5 linked regions of the Sus scrofa genome follow. The protein of the gene in region 5 interacts with the protein of the main gene of each other region in a pairwise test. Links are inferred from orthologs where the notes say so. Each region holds a gene or a part of one and is shown on either strand. Other genes may lie near its edges.

Region 1 (3,767 bases), on a different chromosome or scaffold from region 5:
TAACAAATACGACTAGGAACCATGAGGTTGCGGGTTCGATCCCTGCCCTTGCTCAGTGGGTTAATGTTCCGGCGTTGCCCTGAGCTGTGGTGTAGGTCGCAGACACGGCTCGGATCCTGCGTTGCTGTGGCTCTGGCGTAGGCTGGCAGCTACAGCTCCGATTAGACCCCTAGCCTGGGAACCTCCATATGCCGCGGGAGCGGCCCAAGAAATGGCAAAAAAGACAATAAATAAATAAATAAATAAATAAAAATGGTATAGCTAGATATTGTAGTATCTTAGGATACATTTCTCTTTTATTTTTTCTTTTTTGTTTTTTGTTTTTTTTTGTCTTTTTGCCTTTTCTAGGGCCACTCCTGAGGTATATGGAGATTCTCAGGCTAGGAGTCTAATCAGAGCTGTAGCCACTGGCCTACGCCACAGCCACAGCAACTTGGGATCTGAGCCACATCTGCAACCTACACCACAGCTCATGGCAACGCCGGATCCTTAGCCCACTGAGCAAGGCCAGGGATCGAACCCGCAACCTCATAGTTCCTAGTCGGATTTGTTAACCACTACACCATGATGGGAACTCCAGGATACATTTATTATTTTTTAACACAATAGTCATAATGATTCCCTCTTATATGTTTTTAGTCTTAACAGGCTTTGAAACTAATAACAAATATGAAATCAAGAACAGCCTTGGACAGAGGATTTACTTTGCAGCAGAGGACACTGATTGCTGTACTAGAAACTGCTGTGGGCCTTCTAGGCCTTTCACCATGAGAATTCTTGATAATATGGGCCGAGAAGTCATAACTCTGGAGAGACCACTAAGATGTACCAGCTGTTGTTTCCCCTGCTGCCTGCAAGAGGTTGGTAAGCAAGTGCCAGGGTAATTTTTGCAAATATTTTGCAAAGTAATCCTGCAGGAATTTTCACCTCATCATTGAATTTATGGAATCAAATGAGATTTAAAGGAAAATAAGTCCATAAGCTATTGGTTTTTGCTTGAGAGTAAGTTGTACAGGAAGGAAGGCAGGTGAGAAAGAGTGAACAATTAGCCCCATGTCCCTGAACAGTGCACATCCTGGGAGATCAGAGGTCTCAGAGGCCAGACTTCTTGATCTTCAGGGAGAGCCGAGAAGGCAGGGCACCTTAGTGAAGTACCCCACCTGAAATGACCATGAGGGGCTTGGCCAAAGCCCAAGGAGGACACCCTGTAGGATATCCTAGAACGCCATCCCAGAGGCAAGTGAACAAAAGAATGGGGAAAAGCACAGATACGTTCATCTCAATTTTCGCCAACCTACAAGGACCAAACCTAGCAGAGGCTTCCTCTGAGAAATTTCAACTGCTGTTGTTTTCAGTTCTCCACTGGAAAAAAGTACTGTATTTGAGTCCCTGCAATATGGATGTGCTGGTTGTGAACCCCTTCAGCTCTAGAGAGACCAGGTGTCTCTTTCATAGTACTTGACAGCCCTCTGATAGAGAACACAGATCTCAGGGAGATGCCAGTGCACAGAGTGTTTATAGGAAGTTGGCCTTTGCCTAGATCCCCACTGACCTGAGCCCAGCACTGCCTGGGTCACTCGGTCATCCGCACAGGGAGCTGTGAGAGCAGGGCAGACAGAGACACAGGCACATAAAGATCTGATGTCTAATACTGCACTTATTTTGAAAAGATAAAAGAACTTATTTAAACTGAATTTTGGTTTTCATGTTATTTAATTTAGATGTGATAATATTTATAGGAATAGTTGAGGGAAAACTGATTTGATAGAATATTTTCCACAATTTGTAGAGCACATTAGCATACTTTATACTATTGGTTTTAATAAACAGGAAATCCTCATTTACAGATGAACATGCTGAGATGCTCTCAGGGTCACCCATACATTTTTCCTAAGTATAAAAAATTTAAAATCTAAGAGACCAGTAGAGCAGTGCTCAGAGTGGGGATTGTGAGTTTATAGCTCATCTTCTACTTTGCATCTGGGGAATCTGATGCAAGTTAGTTAGCCTCACTGTTCATCAGTTACTTCCTCTATAAATAGAGATGATAGTACCAACCTGGTAAAGACATGGTGCGAACTAAAACAGTGCCTAACATTAGAAGGGGTTCAGTAAATGAGAGTTCTTACTAGACATTTTTATGATTACAATTTATATATTCTTTTGCTTTTGTAGATAGAAATCCAAGCTCCTCCTGGCATACCAGTAGGTTATGTTACTCAAACCTGGCACCCATGCTTGCCAAGGTTTACAGTTCAAAATGAGAGGCGAGAAGACGTACTAAAAATTACTGGTCCATGTGTTGTCTGCAGCTGTTGTGCAGATATTGATTTTGAGGTAAGAGATGTGATAATGTTTATAGGTTTTGCTTTCTTAACATAAGAATAATATAAACTTAGAGGATGTTACAAATGTATTAAGTAAATATGTATGCCCTGATTCCTCAAAAGGGACTCAGTGTGCTCATATATTTATTTTTTGTCGGGGAGATGGTTATGGCTCTGATTAGGTGTCACTGTTGCTTATGCTAAATGGAAAAAAGAAAAGCAGAACTTTGTAGTCAAGTAACTATAAACAAAACACCTAACATTTAAACATGGTGGTTTCTGTATGGAGGCATTGTATATTACCCATTTTAAACAGAACATTAACCTTGTCATTTAAGTCTGAATGCCAAAGCTTACAGTCCTTTCTTAGTCTGAAACACTGACTGCCAGTACTCTAGGCCCTCTTCAGAAGCTCTAATATCTTTGAGTTCCTACGAAAACTCAATTATGCAGAAAGAATTTTAACAAAGATAATGTAAGAGGTACTACCTAATTATGCTTTTTTTTATTTTTAATAGTCATTTCCCCAATATAATTTTTTTTTCTACTGTACAGCATGGTGACCCAGTTACACATACATGTATACATTATTTTTTTCCCATTATCATGCTCCATCGTAAGTGACTAGACATAGTTCCCTGTGCTGCACAGTAGGATCTCATTGCTAATCTATTCCAAAGGCAATAGTTTGCATCTAATTATGCTTCTTCATGATCATGCTTTTATCCTCATATTAAGTTCATTCATTAGAAATCACAATATGTGTGTATATTTACTACCTGGAGGAATTTCATCACAGCAGTTTTTCATCAAGTGGGGCCCAGCTTTATGGCTCAAAGTATTATTTAGTTGCAAATGCTTAAAAGTTGAGAGATTATAAAATCTATCTTGCTATCATGATTCTTTCATATAAGCATAAAATCTGTTAAACTGGACCATTTCTACAGAAGGGATAGAAATCTAAAACTGAACAGAGCTGTCCCCTTATGATAAATAAGATATGGGAATTCTGCCACTGTCCTCTGGCTTCCCAAGGTCTCCCATTATTCAGCTTCATTCTTTTATATTATCTGCCTGGCTTCTCTCATAATGATTTTTAATTCCTCTGTTATATAAGGATGAATTACTACTCTCATTGACCTCAAAGTCTAACGAGAGAGACAGGAAATTCTAAGAAAACATGTATGATGTATATAGAGACGCTTATAAAGGATGCATATACTGTGTGTGTGTGTGTGTGTGTGTGTGTGTGTGTGTGTGTGTGCATGTGTGTGCATGTGTGTGGAGTGGACTGGAGAACTATATACTATGTTTGATGACTTTATAGGTTTATGTATAATAATAGTTCCCTATTTATGGATTCTCATTCCCATAAAGGATCCAGAGGAGTGAAAAGTTAATGTTTTTTTTCAGGAAATATTAATGGAAGTTTTGCTGACA
Region 2 (3,767 bases), on a different chromosome or scaffold from region 5:
GGGGGACCTCGGTGGAAATTGGGAAAAGGTACACCCCCCAACCGTGGCCACAGCTTGCTGCAGGAGTCCAGCCCCCTCCGGCCCCTTGGCCCAGCAGTTTGTGCAGTGCCCAGACTGCACAGCTGTCCACAGCAGCCCTGCCCGGACCCTGGTGTGCTATCCCAGGAGCCCAGTGCTTTAGCTGCTAGTCCCAACAGGGGACAGATTTCCTGTGGGAAGAACACCAGACAGGCCGAATCACAAAACCTCCACCCACTTAGCAGTTGGCCTTGAGCTGGCTGCGTGTGGCGAGCTGGCAGGGGACGTCCCCACATACCTGCTGCAAGAGGCCAGATTTACCCTCTATGACAGAGAGGGAGAACTGAGGCTTCTGGGAACCGGGCCATTGCCCATCCTGCCCCAAGGCCCAGGGAGGTGGGGGGACATGCCCAGAGTCCCTCATGTCACCAGTGGAGTCCCCCCAGTGTCCTGAAGAAGGCCTCTCTGGCAGCACTTGTCATCAGAGAGGAAGCACCAGTTCCAAGGGCTAGTGTCCCTCTGACCCTTTGACCTCACGGGGTGGAATCGCAGGCTTATTTGGCAGGTGAAACAGGAAACGTCTCTTTTTAAGGAACAGCGATAAAGTTCGGTTCTGCCTTTAAGATTTCACAGACCTCTAACGGGGAACAGCATCAACTTGCCAGCTTTCCTACTGTTTTGGACGAATAAAACCTTTTAACACCACTTGTCACCATTACTTCATAAAAGAAAGGGCATTTTATTTTATTTTTTATTTTATTTTATTTTTTTTGTATTTTCTAGGGCTGTACCCGAGGCATATGGAGGCTCCCAGGCTAAGGGTCTCATCGGAGCTGTAGCCCCTGGCCTACACCACAGCCACAGCAATGCCGGATCCAAGCCGCATCTGCGATCTACACCACAGCTCTCACGGCAACACCGGATCCCTAACCCACTCAGCGAGGCCAGGGATCAAACCCACAACCTCAGGGTTCCTAGTCGGATTCGTTAACTCCTGAGCCACAACGGGAACACCAAGAAAGTGCACTTTAATGTCAGAAGAACACGAGCAATGTGACCTTGCAACAGAGGATAGTCCTTTGAGTTGATTGAATCCAGTTCTGTGAAGACCTGACGTTTTGCCCTGATTTTTCTCACCTGAGGATCCGGGCGACCAGGTGGATGGTGGCCCCGGGTGGCGTTGGGAACATGGGTCTTGTGCTTCAGGTTTCTGAGATTCCGCAGATCTCTGACAGTTGAAGTCACGAGAAACACAACACAATGTTACCTTTAACGCTCCCTGTTTTCCCATTATTTTAGCTGCTCCTGGACTAAGAAATCCCTCCGGGGTGGACTCATCTTGGAAAAAAAACGGGAAGAACAGAAAACTGAAGTCCAAACGGGTCAAGCCTCGTGACTCCTCGGGAAGCACTGGGTCTGGGGGGCCGGTGCCCCAGAGGCCCCCGCTGCTGGGTCTGAATGCCACAGCCTGGTCACCATCGGACACGTCTCAGTCCAGCTGTCCCTCAATGCCCTTCCCTGCCCCGGTGCCAGCTTACTCCCTGCCCGTGTTTCCAGTCCCAGGAACCGTGGCAGCAGCACCCCACGCCGGCTTCGCGGTGCCCGTGGACACCCAGCACGAGTTTGCGGTCCAGCCCCCGGCATTCGCCGGCCCCTTGGCCCCAGTCCTGGCGCTGGTGGTCCCCAGCTACCCCTTCTCCTCAGTGGCCTCGAACCTGCCCCAGACCTTCTTCCCCGGCCAGCCTAGCTTTCCATCCCAGGTGACTCCTGCCTCACAGTCTGAGTTCCCTGGTCAGACCTCATTCCCCAAACAGCCACATGCATGTCCTCGGGCAGAGCATGGGCCACCAGCGTCACGTGTAGCCACCCCGGCCACCCTGCCATCAGCCGCTGGGCCCGCAGGCAGGACCTCCCCGCCGCTCTTCCAGTCCCGCGGAAGCTCGCCCCTGCAGCTCAACCTGCTGCAGCTGGAGGAGACCCCCGAGGGCAGCGCCTCGGCCACGGGGGCGGCAGGTGCGGGGCCAGACTGCAAGCCTGGCTCGGCCTGGGACCGGCAGCCGAAGGCACTGACGACCGTAAGAATCTCCTGATGCCCCTTCTCTAAGGCAGGCAGGCAGGCAGCAGACGTGGGCACCATGGGCAGGGCATGCCCACGCCCTGGCCTCAGACGTGGGTGTCCCCACACTGAGGTCACTCCCGAGCCATTGCAACTTTGCCGTCAATAGGTGCGCTAGAGAGGAAGGTTTTCCAGGTAACAGGCCCCATCAGCGTCGGCCAGGGAGCTCCTGGCGTCCCGGGGTCTGAAGGAAGAGTGACCGTCTGTCGGTCGCTGCAGGGCCCAGGGACCACAGGGAACGTGGGGACTTGTCATGGCCTCGGGGTTTTGAATGAATCCTTCAAGGATAAAGCGCAGTCAGGGTGAAGTCTAGAATGCAGCCCCTTGGAGTGGAGCCGGCGCCCATGGCGAAGGAGCAGGGCCAGGAGGGAGCTCAGAACCAGGGCCGGGTCCCCATGCCCCCAGGCCTGAGGGTCACCTCCGCGTCCTCTCTCCTGGCTAATGAGATGGGAGTGAGTTCCAGTTAGACCCTTCTGTGTTCTGAGCACTCAGGCGTGGGACGGCGTCAGCTGAGGGGGTGCATCCATGGGCGCCCTGCGGTGGGGGAGCCGCGTGGGTGTCCCCGGCCTGTGCACCAGGGAAACGACAGGGGAACCCAGGGTGGTTCTCCCAGCAGCTCTGTCTCCTGACTCCTGGGCCTGGGGTCCAAGGATGGGAGGGTCGGGGTGCGCCCGGGCCCAGCCCCCTCGCGCCCAGCACCGTCCCCACCCTGGGGGCACAGGAGCGGGAAGCCCTGCCCCTGTGAGGGGCACCCGTGGGGTCCTGTAGAGGCGTCTTCTGCTTCCGTTTCTGCCCTGGGGGAGCGGAAGCTTTTCCCCAGGGATCTGAGAGCTGCCGTCTTTAGCGGGACTCTCCTGGACTGAATGCGATGGGTGGTGTCCCGTCCACCGCTGAGATGCTCACTGTGGTCCTAGTAACCGTGGGGCCTGTGCAGGCGCCACGCGAAGGAAGGGGTGGCGGTCACTGTGTCCCGGGTGTTTGTGCAGACGGGCCTCACTCTGAGCGCGATGCATGATCCGGTGTCTCCTCCCTGTCCCCAAAGGGCGAGGAGCCAGCCGACGCCCAGAACAGCGACGCCCTCTCAGCGTCCAGCGGCCTGCTCCACCTCCTGCTGCACGCGGACGTCTGCTCTGCCGCGGGCTCGGCGCTCTCTGGAAGCGGGGCCTCCGCCACCTCCTGTTCCCTGGGCTCAGGCTCACAGGGCTGCGACGCATCCCCAAGTGGGACAGGTATGTCGGTGGCGCTGGGAGCATCTGAGTGCTGGGGTGCGTGATTCAGGTGCGTTTGGAAGGCTCGCACACGACGGACTGGTGTCCTTGACTGTCCACCCTGCAGGGAACCAGCTGCACCCGAGCCGCAGGCGGTGCTTTGGGCCCGGATCAGGCGCAGCCTGGGTCCCCAGGGGATCCAGCCACCCAGGCGGCTCTGCAGAGCCCACGGCAGCTCAGACGGGCAGGCAGAGCTCCTCCTGCCTCTGCCGGTGCCAGTGGCGGGCCGCAGCCGGTCCCAAGGCCCTCTTGTCTGTCCCTTCCGAGGTCATCAGGCCCCGCACCCCAGGTGGCCCTGGTTGGACTGTCCCTCTGGCTCCACGGGTGTGCTGGAAGGGCCGGTCGTGGTCCAACTCCCCGAATTA
Region 3 (3,767 bases), on a different chromosome or scaffold from region 5:
AAAAAAAAAAAAAAAAAAAAAAGGAGGCTTAGTGAGCTTCAGAGGTTCAGGGAGAGTTAAGACATGTAGAGGCACCAAGGCAGGGTCAGATAAAGCAGCAGTTGCCTAATCCTCTGTGGCTTTTTGGTGGGGGTGGGGGAGAAGGGATCTTTTCAGGGGTCTGCATGGCCAAAATTATTTCCATCATAATGCTAAAACACTTTTTCTCACTGTGTTGAAATATGAACTGATAGTACAAAAGCAATGTTGGGTAAAACTACGGGTGCTTTTGCAAAAATCACGCTTGTACTGTACTAGTACTCACTGGATCTCACCACCACATACTCACAATAAAAAAAATGGTAAATTTAAAAGCTACTTAGAATGTTCTTCATAAATCAGTAAAATAGTCTTATAATATCCTTGACTAAATCTTTTTACTACTGTTACAAAATGGCAAGTACGCTTAAAGCACTTGTGCTTAAAGTATGACGGTTGTCTCGAGGAAGCACTTGTGTGACTATTTAAGTTATAAGCTGAACCAAATGCCTTTTCCATAGGACATCATTTTTATCATCACAAACTGTGGTTTTCAGACTTGAGTATTTAACATGCAATTTCTTGAAAATTAATGAACCTGTGATTTCAAGGAAAACAATGATAGTGATAAAATTTTAACTTTCAAGCAAAATTTAGAATTTTTAGAAAATTTCGATCTACTGCTTTGAGCTCAAATGCTTCCCCAAACTTAAAAGATATTATTTGATGATATAGGTAATATCAACAACGGTGATTTTTTTTTTGTTTTGTTTTTTCTTTTTAGGGCTGCACCTGTGGCATGTGGAGATTCTCAGGCTAGGGGTTGAATCAGAGCTGTAGTTCACTGCCTGCAACACCAGATCCAAGCAGCGTCTGCGACCTACACCACAGCTCACAGCAATGCCAGAGCCTTAACCCACTGAGTGAGGCCAGGGATTGGACCTGTGTCCTCATGGATGCTAGTCAGATTTGTTTCTGCTGAGCCACAATAGGTTCTCCAGCAATAGTGATGTTTTGATGCTGGACAGTGAAATGTGCCTATGTTTGGAAGATCCTGCGTAGCTTAGTGAACCAGTATTTTGCAAATGACCAATGTAAGATATTTCAAAATCACACAGAGGTAAAAGATCCATCATAAATGCCAAGATAAACTCATATGGTTTCAAATCCCACATTGCAGCTGATCTTTAAGAACTTCCACTTGCTGAGTTTTGATGTAATATCAAAGAGGCAGACCATGATTATTTGAAAAGACTATTAAAATACATCTCCCTTTTCCAACTGCGTATCTAGAGAGCCCTGATTTCCTTCATAAATGCTTTTCAAACACATCTAAACAGCTTGAATTGAGAAGCAAATGAGAATCCAGTTAAACTGTTAAGCCAGACATTTGATTTGCAAAAAAATGTAAAACGACATTTCTCACTTTTTGATGCTTTGGAAAATTATTTTTCATTAAATTGCTTTTCATGGTAATATGTAATAAGTTTTTCATATTCCAAAAATATATTAGTTTCAACTTCAAATATAGCAAATAATGATATAGCCTAAATAAATTCTTTGGCTTCCTCATTTTTCAGAGTGTAGTCTTTTTGACAATCTTGTCAAAAAGTTGTTATGGGGTGGTTGTAATGCCATATACCGGCAAGGCCTGCAATCACTGCCTCCTGAAATCCAAGCCTCTACCAAACCGTTTCCTCACTTACATCCAAATACTTCTCAAAGGTGTTTGTGAGACTCATGTCAGGAGGAGGAAGCTGGAGGGAGACAGAGAGCTCTGCTTCTGAGGAGTGGTAATAAAAATTCTCAGCAGTCTCTCAACAACTGATTACTGAAACTGGCATTTGAGGTTTAACTAGTGATTTATCTCTAGTGTTTTGTTTATTTGCGACTCCTCAGAGCTGTGTCTCTTCACAGTATAATCTTTATTTCTTCTTTAGCAACATCTGTTGCTATAAGACGTTTTTTTACTCCCTTACAGGGGACCTGCCCACCTGGGCTCATTGAGGTTTAGTCCTTGGCCTTAAAGAACATGTGAACAGCATGATTCAAGTTAATGAATGCTCTAGGGATTTTATTCAGCCCTTAAATTGCCTGTGTGGGCTGAATGGAATACAAAAAGGAGAACAGTTTGGGGGAGAGTGTTGTTTTTTTTTTCCTTACCGTGACCATTCCTAATAGTCTCTTAGGTGAAATCATCCAGTAAGAAACCAAAGCCTTAATTTTAAGCTTTTTCTCACCTTCCTCTTTTCAACCTGCTTCATTTTCTTGGTGACATCACATATACTACTGATGCAAAATGTTGATGATGTGAAAACTTCACTTTTGTTTGTAGATTTTAAATGGAGGGACTCCAGACATTCCTTCTAGTGGCCTACTCCCAGGACAGGCTCAGGAGAACCCAGGTTATCCATATTCTGATAGCTCTTCTATTCTTGGTAAGTAGCATTATTACCTATTTCCATTGCAATGAGCTTTTAAAAAAAAAATCTGGCATAAAGTCAATCTTAAGAACTGAACATGCAAAACGAGCTAGTTCTAGGTAAACTTGATAAGAACAAGTTTAATGATTGGGTGCTGGTGCTGGTGCAGGTCCAGGTTTGTCCCTGCAACTCAGGAGGATGCTAGAGGAGCCTTGACACAGGCTTTCTCCCAGCATGTGGAACATAATCTCTTCAGAGGGGATATCGGATGGAGGTTCAGAGATAATGCCTAAAACGGTGATCAGTCAGCATTTCAGAGGATATTAAAAGTCATTAAGGGATAAAGAGTTTGCTTCTCCTGGAGTTCCTGTTGTGGGGCAGCGGAAACAAATCTATTAGCCATAAGGCTGCAGGTTTGATCCCTGACCTTGCTCAGTGGGTTAAGGATCCCGAGTTGCCATGAGCTGTGGTGTAAGTCACAGACGTGGCTCGGATCTGGTGTAGCTATGGCTGTGGTGCAGGCCGGCAGCTGTAGCTCCGATTCAACCTCACCTGGGAACTTCCATGTGCCACAGGTGAGGCCCTAAAAAGAAAATAAGAGTTTGCTTCTCCCATCCTACTCATCTTTTTCTCTACTTACCTTTCTAAATCTTTCCCCCCTAATCTCTACCTTCCTATTTCTTTCCTTCTTTAACTCCCTCCTTATAGCTGGTTATATCAGATTATTAAAATGAGGTCAACTCAGATACTTTTAATTTTTATGGTGTTTTAAGTACTTTGTTCTTAAAAAGTTGGTTCTTCCCTCTGAAAAACACCAAGGTTAAAACATATGTGGCAATCCAGCCCCCAAGCAGCATCTCTCATCCTTCTCACCCTACTGTTAAGAAAGTTATTAAGTGTGCTTAGGAACTGCTTACTGTAGTTAAACATGCTTTGGTACTATCACTGACCAGTCTTTATCTCCCCCCATAGGTGAGAACCCTCACATAGGCATAGACATGATAGACAACGATCAAGGCTCAAGCAGTCCCAGTAATGATGAAGCAGCAATGGCTGTCATAATGAGCCTCTTGGAAGCAGATGCTGGGCTGGGTGGCCCTGTTGACTTTAGCGACTTGCCATGGCCGCTGTAAACACTACATGTTGCTTTGGCAACAGCTACAGTATCAAAGTGCATTACTGATGGAGTTTTACAGTCTGTGAAGCTTACTGGACAAGGAGAGAACAGCTTTTATGTACTGTCTTCATAAAAGCCATCTCAGAGCCATTGATACAAGTCAATCTTACTATGTGTAACTTCAGACAAAGTGGAACTAAGCCTGCTCC
Region 4 (4,408 bases), on a different chromosome or scaffold from region 5:
TGTGTTCATGAGCCCAGGGCCTCAGCCTGGTGAACCCTGCGGTCTGGGCTTCTCAGCTTTCCCCCCATTCCTTTTCTGAGGGCATTTTGCTGTTTCTTGGATCCCTTTCTACTCCTTGACTTAACTCTCAGGTGTTACGCAGTTGCTCCTGTGGTCATTTACTCCTAGACCTGAAATAGGTGGACAACTGGGAAACATCTCTTCCCCTTTGTGCCTAGAACAGTGCTAACATCCAGAAGGGTTAATAAATACTAATTGAACAAAACGGCTCAGGGAGACAGAGGTGAGTGTGGTGTGGAGTCGGCTGCAGGGCTTGCCACCCCTGCCCTGTGTGCAGTCAGACTGGTGACTCTGGACCCCCACACTGAACTCTTAATCTCCAGCAACAAATGCAGCCGATGTGGTACCCTTGCATCTCTGACCCCGGGCACTTCAACAGTAGGTGGGAGTGCTAGGTGAGCTCCGGAGGGCCCATTTTTCTGGGCGGCAACATGAGGGTTCCGCATAGGAAATCTCGATAATGTTTCCTAAACTTGTCGGCTCATGAGAACTACCAGGAATGCTTTTTAAAATAGATTTTCAGGCCCCTTCCCCGGAGATTGAGTCAGCAGTTGTAAGGGACCAAGTGATTCTTATAATTAGGTATACAGTCATTATCATAATGTTCACCATTTGTTGAGGGCTTACTATTTTCAGGACAGGTACTAAGAGCCTTTTTACCCTTCATCTACTGAGTTCTTTACAGGCTTAGGATTCCCGCAGGCTCTTGGACCCGCCTTCTTTATGTGGGAGATCTGGGTTCAAATCATGATCCCATTAGAGACTAGCTTGTTCTTCCGGACAGATTATGTAACCTCTCTGAATCTCAGTATCATTAGTGAGGCGGTGGGAAGTGAGCCGCCGCCTCTTCCGGCTTTATAAGAAGCGCGTGGCCTGGCCACAGAAAATAATCTGGGAGGTGGCTATCATCTTTTTGTCATCATCGTCACGCGGTACGGAGACCTGAAGACCGCTTCACCTAATGCTCACACCTTCCAGCTACTGGGAGTTTCAGGTCCAGAGTCCCAGCGCGGGGGCGCTCTTGTCACGCACGGGACGGCTCTCAAAGCGCCCCCCACAAAGTTACGGGCGCTCACATCTGCGCCTGCGCAGACTCGGCAGTCTAGGGTAAGAGTGTCGTCAAGGAAAATCCCCAGCTTCTAGGTAAACAACTTGCCGCGTGAGACCGCCTGCACGTGTCCTCTACAGCTCCGGAATGTCTCAGCCTATGAGAAAATTGGGAGGGCTGGACTGACGTTTGCGTCACCAATCTAGGCAGGCCGGGGGTGGAGTCACAGCCAATAAGAATTTCGGATGTGAGTGGGGGCGTGTCTTTCCTCAGACCTCCAATCAACGCGCTAGGGCGGCCCCTCCCGCACGTGGATCTGTCGCTTGGTAGGCAAACTGACCAATGAGAAGGTGACGGCGGCGGGCGGTGCCAATGGTAGCTGGGCGGAGGCGGGGGGGGCCCCGCACGCGGCGCGGGGCATGGGTCGGCGCCCTTAGGCCAATAAGCTTGAGGGGCGTGGCGTCCTGGTCGGCGGGCGAGGCTGAAGGAGCGAGTCCAAGTCTCCGAGATCCTAGTTGGGAAGAAACTGTACCGCGCGTGAGAGCCGAGCGGTGAGTGCTCCGGCGTGGTGGGGTGGGGAGCGGGGAGCGGCGGCGATTGGTATAGGTTTTTCCCGCGTGGCGTAAGGAGGAATGTTAATGCAGTACCGTGAAGGAGAATGTGTGGATATGTGATCGCCGCGGTGGGAGCTCTAGTGGTTGCAGGGAATAGGGGCCGCGAACTCAGTTCTAGAGAGAAGGGAGCAGGAATCACTGATTTAAGATCCCTCGCTATTCCAAGGTGCCTGGATCCCTGACTGCCGCGGGGAGGGGTTCGGAAGCGTTCGGCAGCCTGAGGGAGCTGAGACCTCTGCTCCCAGGAGGTACCGGACCCTTTAGAACCAGTGGGGGACGTTCCAGTGCGTGACTGTTGCTCGGGTAGGTGCCTTAAGCACTTGAAAGAGGCCAGGGCGGTGGAGGGAGAAGTTCTCGTCGTTGTTGCTTCTTCGGTTAAGGACGCCGTTTCTGTGAGGATGCAGGTTCTATCCCTTGGCCTCACTCAGTGGGTTAAGGATCATCAGCTGCAGCGTAGGTCGCAGATGCAGCTCGGATTCCTTGTTGCCCGTGGCTGTGCCGGTTGCTCCAGCTGCAGCTCCGATTGAACCTCTGGCCGGGGAACTCATGCCTCATTTGCGGCCAGCAGTAAAAAGGAAAAAAAAAAAAAAAGCAGGAGTTGTGAAGCTAGAGAGAGGCCCTGGTAGGGCAGGTGGGTGGGTACCAAGGGATTGACAAGGTGACTTGAAAAAGGGTGGTGTGATGATTTATGTGACCCTGAGCCAGTCACATCTTGGCTGTGGCTCTGGATGTCTCTCTCATGTGTAAAAAGAAGGGGTTGGGCCTCGGAGCCATCCTTGGGAGTGAGCGTGGGGTAGGAACTATTGGATCTCAAGAGGGAGGATGGATTTGTGCAGATTGGATGCACGTGTGTCTTCCTGAGTCCTTGGAGGGGAGGAGGCAGGAACTGGGTGCTCTGGTATCTGTCTGTACAAGTAACCAGGCCTGTGGTAAAGTGACCTGTGATGAGGTGGAGGAGTCAGGAAGTGGGGTTCCTAGCAGATCACTGGGGCTAGTGGCTGCCAGGGTGATCTCAAGGACTTTGTGAGAATATGAAAACTGGGACAATGCGATTTGAAGTGTGTAGAGAGTGCAGACTGACTGTTGGGGCGGGGGGGATGGCATCTGTGTTTCAGGCACCAAACTCAGAATGGGCTGGGTATTTGAGAGGCCCAGGTCCCCCAGAGGTGGTAACACCTCACAGGTTCTTGAAGGGTAAGAAGCCAGAACGACAAGCCATTAACAGAGTTCAGATTCGAATCCTGGGCCCCATTTGTTAAGAGTCAGAGAACATATTATGAAGCAACTTAGGCAAGTTTAGTAACTTCTGAGCCTTAGTCGGTCTTTGTGCAATGGGGATAATGATATCTATCTCACAGGCTTGTTCTGAAGATTAAATAAGTTAATGTATGTAAAGTACTCAGCAAAATGCCTGGGTCATATTTAAAAAAAATTTTTTTTAGCTAAAAAATATGGCTGTATGGTGACAGTAACAGGAATGGGTGAAAGATTTCTGTGAATGCTGTGGTTAGGGACTGACAATGCTCACATTCTTAAGCTTTTTTGCAACTTTTAGTGACTCCCTCCCTGTTCTCCTCTTCCTGGTTCTTCTGGGCTGGAGCACCAGCCCCAGTCCCTCATTCCTCTCTTTTATCCCTCCCCCAAGATCCAGGCCCCAGGCTGGGCCACTTGCTCTGTCCCAGTTCGATTTCCTCATCCTTGACCCATTCTCCTCCCTGTCCCTCCTCCCTCTCTCTGCTGCCATGGTAACAAGACATTCAGGCTTTGAAGGGGGCCTCAGGGAAGGAGCAAAGGTGCGTGTTCTCTTGCAGAACCTGGGCCTCCAACTTCCCCGCCCTGGCTCTTTGGGACCGGGCCAGCAGATGTGTACAGTCTGGGAGGGGGGAAAGCCAATGCCAGGAGCTGTAGGAACCAGCCGAGGGAGGGTGGATGCGAGTCTCCAGAAGAGAGCCTGGAGTGGGGGCGGGGGAAGCACCCCTTCCTCCTAATCCTCTCTCCAGGAATCCCTGGCTTTGGGACCGGACGGCTGTCGTTGGGTTGGGGGAGGCGCCCAGGCTGGGTGCATGTCCTGGGCTACCAGCCAAAAGAACATGATGTTCCCAAGTGCGCTGGCCGCCGCCCTCTTGGGCTGGCCGCCTCCCAAACCGCTGCCTCTCCGGCCTCCCTGCCCCACATTCCCCGGCTGCCTCGCCCCGCCCCATCCTCCGCTTTGACGTCACCGCCGTCTCCCGCCCCCTCTCTTCCATTGACGGCAGCAGGGCCTGGTTACTGTGGGGATCGGGAGGCAGGATCTCGGTTAGAGCCTTGAGAGCAAGTGGGAGCTGCTGGAGCCCTGGACCCTTTTGTCCACGCCAGAGAAAAATATGGAGGCGGAGGGCAAGGACTGCCTGTGTCGGGGGAGGTCACATCTAAAGCCCTGAGGAGTGCTGAGGACGAAGAAAAACCGTGTCTCCAGAAGAGGTGTCTGATAGGACCAGGGATTAGGCCACAGTATAGGAGTTGGGGGGACATTTTCAAGGAGAGAAGACTGAGAATCCAGGCTTCCGAATCCTTTATTTTGTGTTTTCTGGCTTTGTTTTTTTCTGGGTTATTCTTTAACCATCCTGTGTCCAGCTTTTACACAGAACCCTTGCCCTGGCTCCCCCCCACCCCCCACCCCCCCCACCCCCACCCCCCACCATTGTCA
Region 5 (4,516 bases):
TGAGGGATGTGATAAGGAAAGAGCTTTGGATTCAGAAACAGTCTTGGTGTTTCATCTATTTATTTTTATTTCGAAGCTTCAATGTCTTCAACTGCAAAGTGGGCATAAATTAAGTAATACTAAGCTGCCTCATAAGATTATTATGAGGGCTCATAATAACCAATATAAAGTGCCTGACCTATAGTAGGTGTTAAGTCAAAGTTTTTATTAAATGGTTACTCCTCTCAAAGATATATTAACAATCTATATGCCATTAAAAACCCTTCAGTCTCTGAGGAATGCACAATTGACAGTACTGATGCTTTTATAAAAAGTTAGTACTTTTAGGTGTAATGAAAGTTACATACATCCACATACAGCTATTTAAGAAAAAAAAAAACCCTTCTTTATTGAATGGACAATAGGCAAAAATAAGGCAATTCTACACAAATCAATACTACTTACAACTGTTGCATTTGGATGCTTGAAAATAATTCTTGTGTCTTTAGACACAATCTGCTTACTTTCAAACTACCTAAAATGAAACATGAAACACTTTTTAAAAGTATAATAGGCTCTGGAGCATGAAGCATTGCCTCTAGAAAGGTAGGCAAAGGCCCCATCACAAAGAGCCCTATAAACCGCACCAACTTTAAGAAACTAGGGCTGACAAGTTGACAATATACAGATGGTATCAAGGAATTGCAGTAACACCTGGCACCAATCCTATGAATTACCCCTCTTCCCCAGAGCACGTGCAAGGGTGCTCTGCCTCGAGGGCCACAAGAATGAGAAGGACGCCAGCTCTACACGCTCCAAGGCAGGGTTGGGTTCTGCAGTCAAGCTGGAAGGAAGCACATGGTTTGGGCTCCACGTCTAAGGGGAGCCTCTTACTCCGCTCTTTTCACCGCATACCGCCCGCACTCCCCACCTGGCGCCCCCACCGCCTCCTGTTAAGACACCAGGAAGCTTCCTGGCCTTCCCCCGAAACCCCCCGGGAAAAAGCCCCAAGCGCGCTCCAGCAGCCCGGCCCCGCCTTCCTCGCCTCCCTCCGTAAGGCAGCGAGTGCGCACGCGCGCCTACCGGAACTGAGCGCGCGCTCGCGAACTCCCCGCATACCCGTGCTCATCCGGGTCTCGGAGAGCCTCGGCCAATGGTGGCCGCTCACGGCCCCCGAGGGCGGGGCTAAATCTTGCCTCACACGGGGCCTCTGGTCACCGTGGGCGCTTTCAGGCAACGGCGACTCGTCCGCGGAGGAAAGGACAGAGGCAGAGAGTCTAGCGTCTGGGCGAGGGTCGACGGTTTTGAGATGGAGCGGCTGCCGTCTAAAAATTAGAGACTGAATAGCGAGCAGAGTCCCCAGTCAGAGCCGCTGTAGTAAACACACTTCAGAAACGTGAGGTGCCGGGGGTCACGTGGGGAGCGCTCTGTCCAATGAGGAGCCGAGGGCGGGGCCAAGGCCGCTGACGCGGCGGTGGCGGAGGAGTCACCCGGGCAGCCTCGGGACCGGTCTCGGGCCGGCAACCGTCCAGCGGCTTTGACCACCGCCTCAGCGTTCCGTCCTCACGCCTCTTTCCTGGGCCGAGAGGTAGCGTGGCCGACAGTCGCTGAATTCTCTCTCCTCCCTGTCGGTGGTTTGCCTCAGGCGGGCCGTTTGCGCTTCAGGGGCCGCCTCCGTGGGGCGAGGTTTCCGTGACGAATCTCCTGGGGCTGCCCGCGCCGGCTCGGGCCGTCGTGGCGGCTCGGGCTCGTGGAACTTGCTCATCCTCCGGGGGTCCGGAGCCCTCGAAGTTAGGCGTCTCATCCAGGCGGTCGTGGCGGGTGCCGGCTCTTAAAGGGCGTCACGGCAGGACTCCGCTGACTGGGCAATCTCCATTCATCTTCCAGCCGCACGGGCAGCGCCCTCTCCCTCGCGGGTCCCCTACTCGGACTCATTTTTTCCTTTCCCCGCTCTGCTGCCCTTTCCTCACTCCTTGGGTGCGGCGATTCTCCTGGAAGCGGGGGTGTCGGTTATGAGCTGGACCCTCTTGCCCTGAATTTCTCGGGGCAGGAACTCGGCGGCGCCGCCGCGCCGCCTGCCGCCCACCGCGCCCCCGGGATGGGGGTGAACGCGGTGCACTGGTTCCGAAAGGGGCTCCGGCTTCACGACAACCCCGCCCTGAAGGAGTGCATTCAGGGCGCCGACACCATCCGCTGCGTCTACATCCTCGACCCCTGGTTCGCCGGCTCTTCCAATGTGGGCATCAACAGGTGGAGGTGAGTCAAAATCCTGTGAGAAATTGATTTCGTTGTTTCATGAATTGGGACTTTACGTGCGATCGACCACATCTAAGAATGTAGACCTGGGACCGCTGTGCTTATGCAGTTTTAATTATTGCAGGTGCTTTAAGCATTAAATAGAATGGGCTTAATGGTTCTCTGGCCGAAGAGTGCCGGCAGCCTGGAACACCTTGGCCTTCAGCTATGAGTTATGTATCTCTGTGCTGATGAGGACTCTTCTGCGTTTATGGAAAATTCTTAGTGGGGGAGTTAAAGAACCACCCCTTCCAATTAAGTGGCCATGGATTGATTTCCTTGGCCGCCGTGTGACACTGAAGGGATTGCGGTTTTTAATGTTTACGTTTGTGTGTGTCTAGGTAACTCATAGAATGGAGAAAATCATTCATTCAGTATTGTCGCCTCCAAACCCAGTTTTCTTCCACCTTGAGGTTGTTTTGGGAAAAGCAAGGAAGACTACATTTCCCTTTGCTCAACTCTTTCAACTCCTCCTTGTGGTTGACTAGACACAGCACAGTTTTTCTTTCTAAGCAAAGTATAATCCTAGGATTCAGAGCACTGGAAGAAATCTTAGAGAAGTTTTACCATCTTTTCTCGAAATGCCAGGCTAGATGATTGTTAGACCGCCTGGTGGAATGAGAATATTCATTCAGCTGACAGATTATTGATCACCTACTGTATACCAGGCACTGTTTAAAACACCAGGGATACAGTTATTGAATGAGACAGACAGAAATTCTTGTCCTTTTTGAAGACATGTCCCAGAAAGTATATAGTATTTAGTGGTGATAAATGATGTGCAGAAATACAGAGAAAGGGGATGAAAAATACGACGGGGTGGGATTGGAGTTGCAATTTAAAATATGGTGATAGGGAAAAACCCATATTGAGCAAGATGATGAAGCAAGTAATAGATTACAGATACCTAAGGAAAAGCATTCCAGGGAGAAGGAACAGTAAGATAAAAGGTCCTGAGATGGAGATATTCTTAACCTTTGGAAAGAATAGCAGAAGAAACCGATCTACTGGAGCAGAGTAAATGAGAGGAAAAGTAGTAAATGAGGTCAAAGATGTAATGGGCCAGATTGAGTAGAGCTTTATAGGCAGTTGTCAAGATTTGGGCTTTTACTCATAGCAAAGTGGGAATAACTGTAGGAGTATGAGCAGAGAAGTGATGTGATTTGAATCAAGCTTTTAAAAAAGTCTCTGGCTGTGGTTCTGAGAACAGACTGAATTGTAGAGTGGAGGTGGGCAAGAAGCAGGAAGACCAGTTAGCAGTTCATTGCTTTCATCCAGGTGAGATATGATAATGGCTTAGACTGTAGTGATCATGGTGGACATAGTGAGAAATAGTCAAATGTTGCGTGTATGTTGAAGGCAGAACACACAGTATTTGTCAACAGATTGTATGTGTGACATAAGAGAAAGAGAAGGAATTAGGAATGATGTAAATTTTTTTGACTTGAGAAACGAGAAGGATGGAGCTGCTTTTTGCTAAGTGATTAGTGGGAAAGGCCATTGAAAGGGTGATTTGAGTTCTCTTTTGAACTTGGTTAATTTTGAGGTGTTTATTGCACATCCAAGTGGAGACAGCGGATAGGCAGTTGGATATATCTGCAGCTAAGGACAGAGACCCAGGCAGGAGGTATAAATTAGAGAATTATCAGTTTATAGATAATATTTAAAGCCATTTATTAATCCATTCATTCATTGAACAAATTCAGGTCATTCATCTACATGCCAGATACTTTTAGGTGCAGGGCATTCAGTATAAATAAAATAGCTAAAAAATCTCTACCTTGTTGAAGCTACATTCTAGTAGAGCCATGAGACTATATCAGAACATTAAGAGAGTGAGTATAGGTAGAAAAGAGAGGAGGTCCAAGAACTGAGCCTTGGGGAGTTCCCGTTGTGGTTCAGTGGATTAAGGAACCAATGTTGTCTCTGTGACAATGCAGGTTCCATCCTTGGCCTTGTTCAGTGGGTTAAGGATGCAGTGTTTCCACAAGCTGCCATGTAGGTCTTAGATGCGGCTTGGATTCACTGTTGCTGTGACTGTGGCATAGGTCTAAGTTGCAGCTCTCATTTGACCCCTAGCACAAGAACTTCCAACTGCAGGTGAGGCCACAAAAATAAAAAGGAAAAGACCCAGAAGAAAAACAAACCCCCAAAACCCAAAATCAGGAAATGAGCCTTGGGCCTCTAATGTGTTGAAATTGTGGAGCTGTGGAAGAAACAGCATAGGAGATTGAGAAGCAAC

Evidence for each region.
Region 1: the proteins of CRY1 (region 5) and PLSCR1 interact in a two-hybrid assay, tested with the Homo sapiens proteins (2 studies listed by BioGRID and IntAct). The link is inferred for Sus scrofa from reciprocal best matches to the Homo sapiens genes CRY1 and PLSCR1.
Region 2: the proteins of CRY1 (region 5) and PER2 interact in a two-hybrid assay, tested with the Homo sapiens proteins (5 studies listed by BioGRID, with this or other methods). The link is inferred for Sus scrofa from reciprocal best matches to the Homo sapiens genes CRY1 and PER2.
Region 3: the proteins of CRY1 (region 5) and ARNTL interact in a two-hybrid assay, tested with the Homo sapiens proteins (3 studies listed by BioGRID, with this or other methods). The link is inferred for Sus scrofa from reciprocal best matches to the Homo sapiens genes CRY1 and BMAL1.
Region 4: the proteins of CRY1 (region 5) and PER1 interact in binary tests that used the Homo sapiens proteins (3 or more experiments, as listed by UniProt). The link is inferred for Sus scrofa from reciprocal best matches to the Homo sapiens genes CRY1 and PER1.

What each region holds. Positions count from the first base shown.
Region 1 is NC_010455.5:86,846,207-86,849,973, reverse strand, and holds part of PLSCR1 (phospholipid scramblase 1), read left to right. Parts: intron 1-639; coding exon 640-860; intron 861-2,175; coding exon 2,176-2,337; intron 2,338-3,767. UniProt on the Homo sapiens protein: Catalyzes calcium-induced ATP-independent rapid bidirectional and non-specific movement of phospholipids (lipid scrambling or lipid flip-flop) between the inner and outer leaflet of the plasma membrane resulting in collapse of the phospholipid asymmetry which leads to phosphatidylserine externalization on the cell surface.
Region 2 is NC_010457.5:137,802,408-137,806,174, reverse strand, and holds part of PER2 (period circadian protein homolog 2), read left to right. Parts: intron 1-1,317; coding exon 1,318-2,093; intron 2,094-3,176; coding exon 3,177-3,363; intron 3,364-3,767. UniProt on the Homo sapiens protein: Transcriptional repressor which forms a core component of the circadian clock.
Region 3 is NC_010444.4:45,895,950-45,899,716, reverse strand, and holds part of ARNTL (aryl hydrocarbon receptor nuclear translocator-like protein 1), read left to right. Parts: intron 1-2,353; coding exon 2,354-2,456; intron 2,457-3,413; coding exon 3,414-3,574; 3' UTR 3,575-3,767. UniProt on the Homo sapiens protein: Transcriptional activator which forms a core component of the circadian clock.
Region 4 is NC_010454.4:53,373,824-53,378,231, reverse strand, and holds the start of PER1 (period circadian protein homolog 1), read left to right. Parts: upstream 1-1,508; 5' UTR 1,509-1,659; intron 1,660-1,888; 5' UTR 1,889-2,025; intron 2,026-4,408. UniProt on the Homo sapiens protein: Transcriptional repressor which forms a core component of the circadian clock.
Region 5 is NC_010447.5:13,274,100-13,278,615, forward strand, and holds the start of CRY1 (cryptochrome-1), read left to right. Parts: upstream 1-1,449; 5' UTR 1,450-2,077; coding exon 2,078-2,235; intron 2,236-4,516.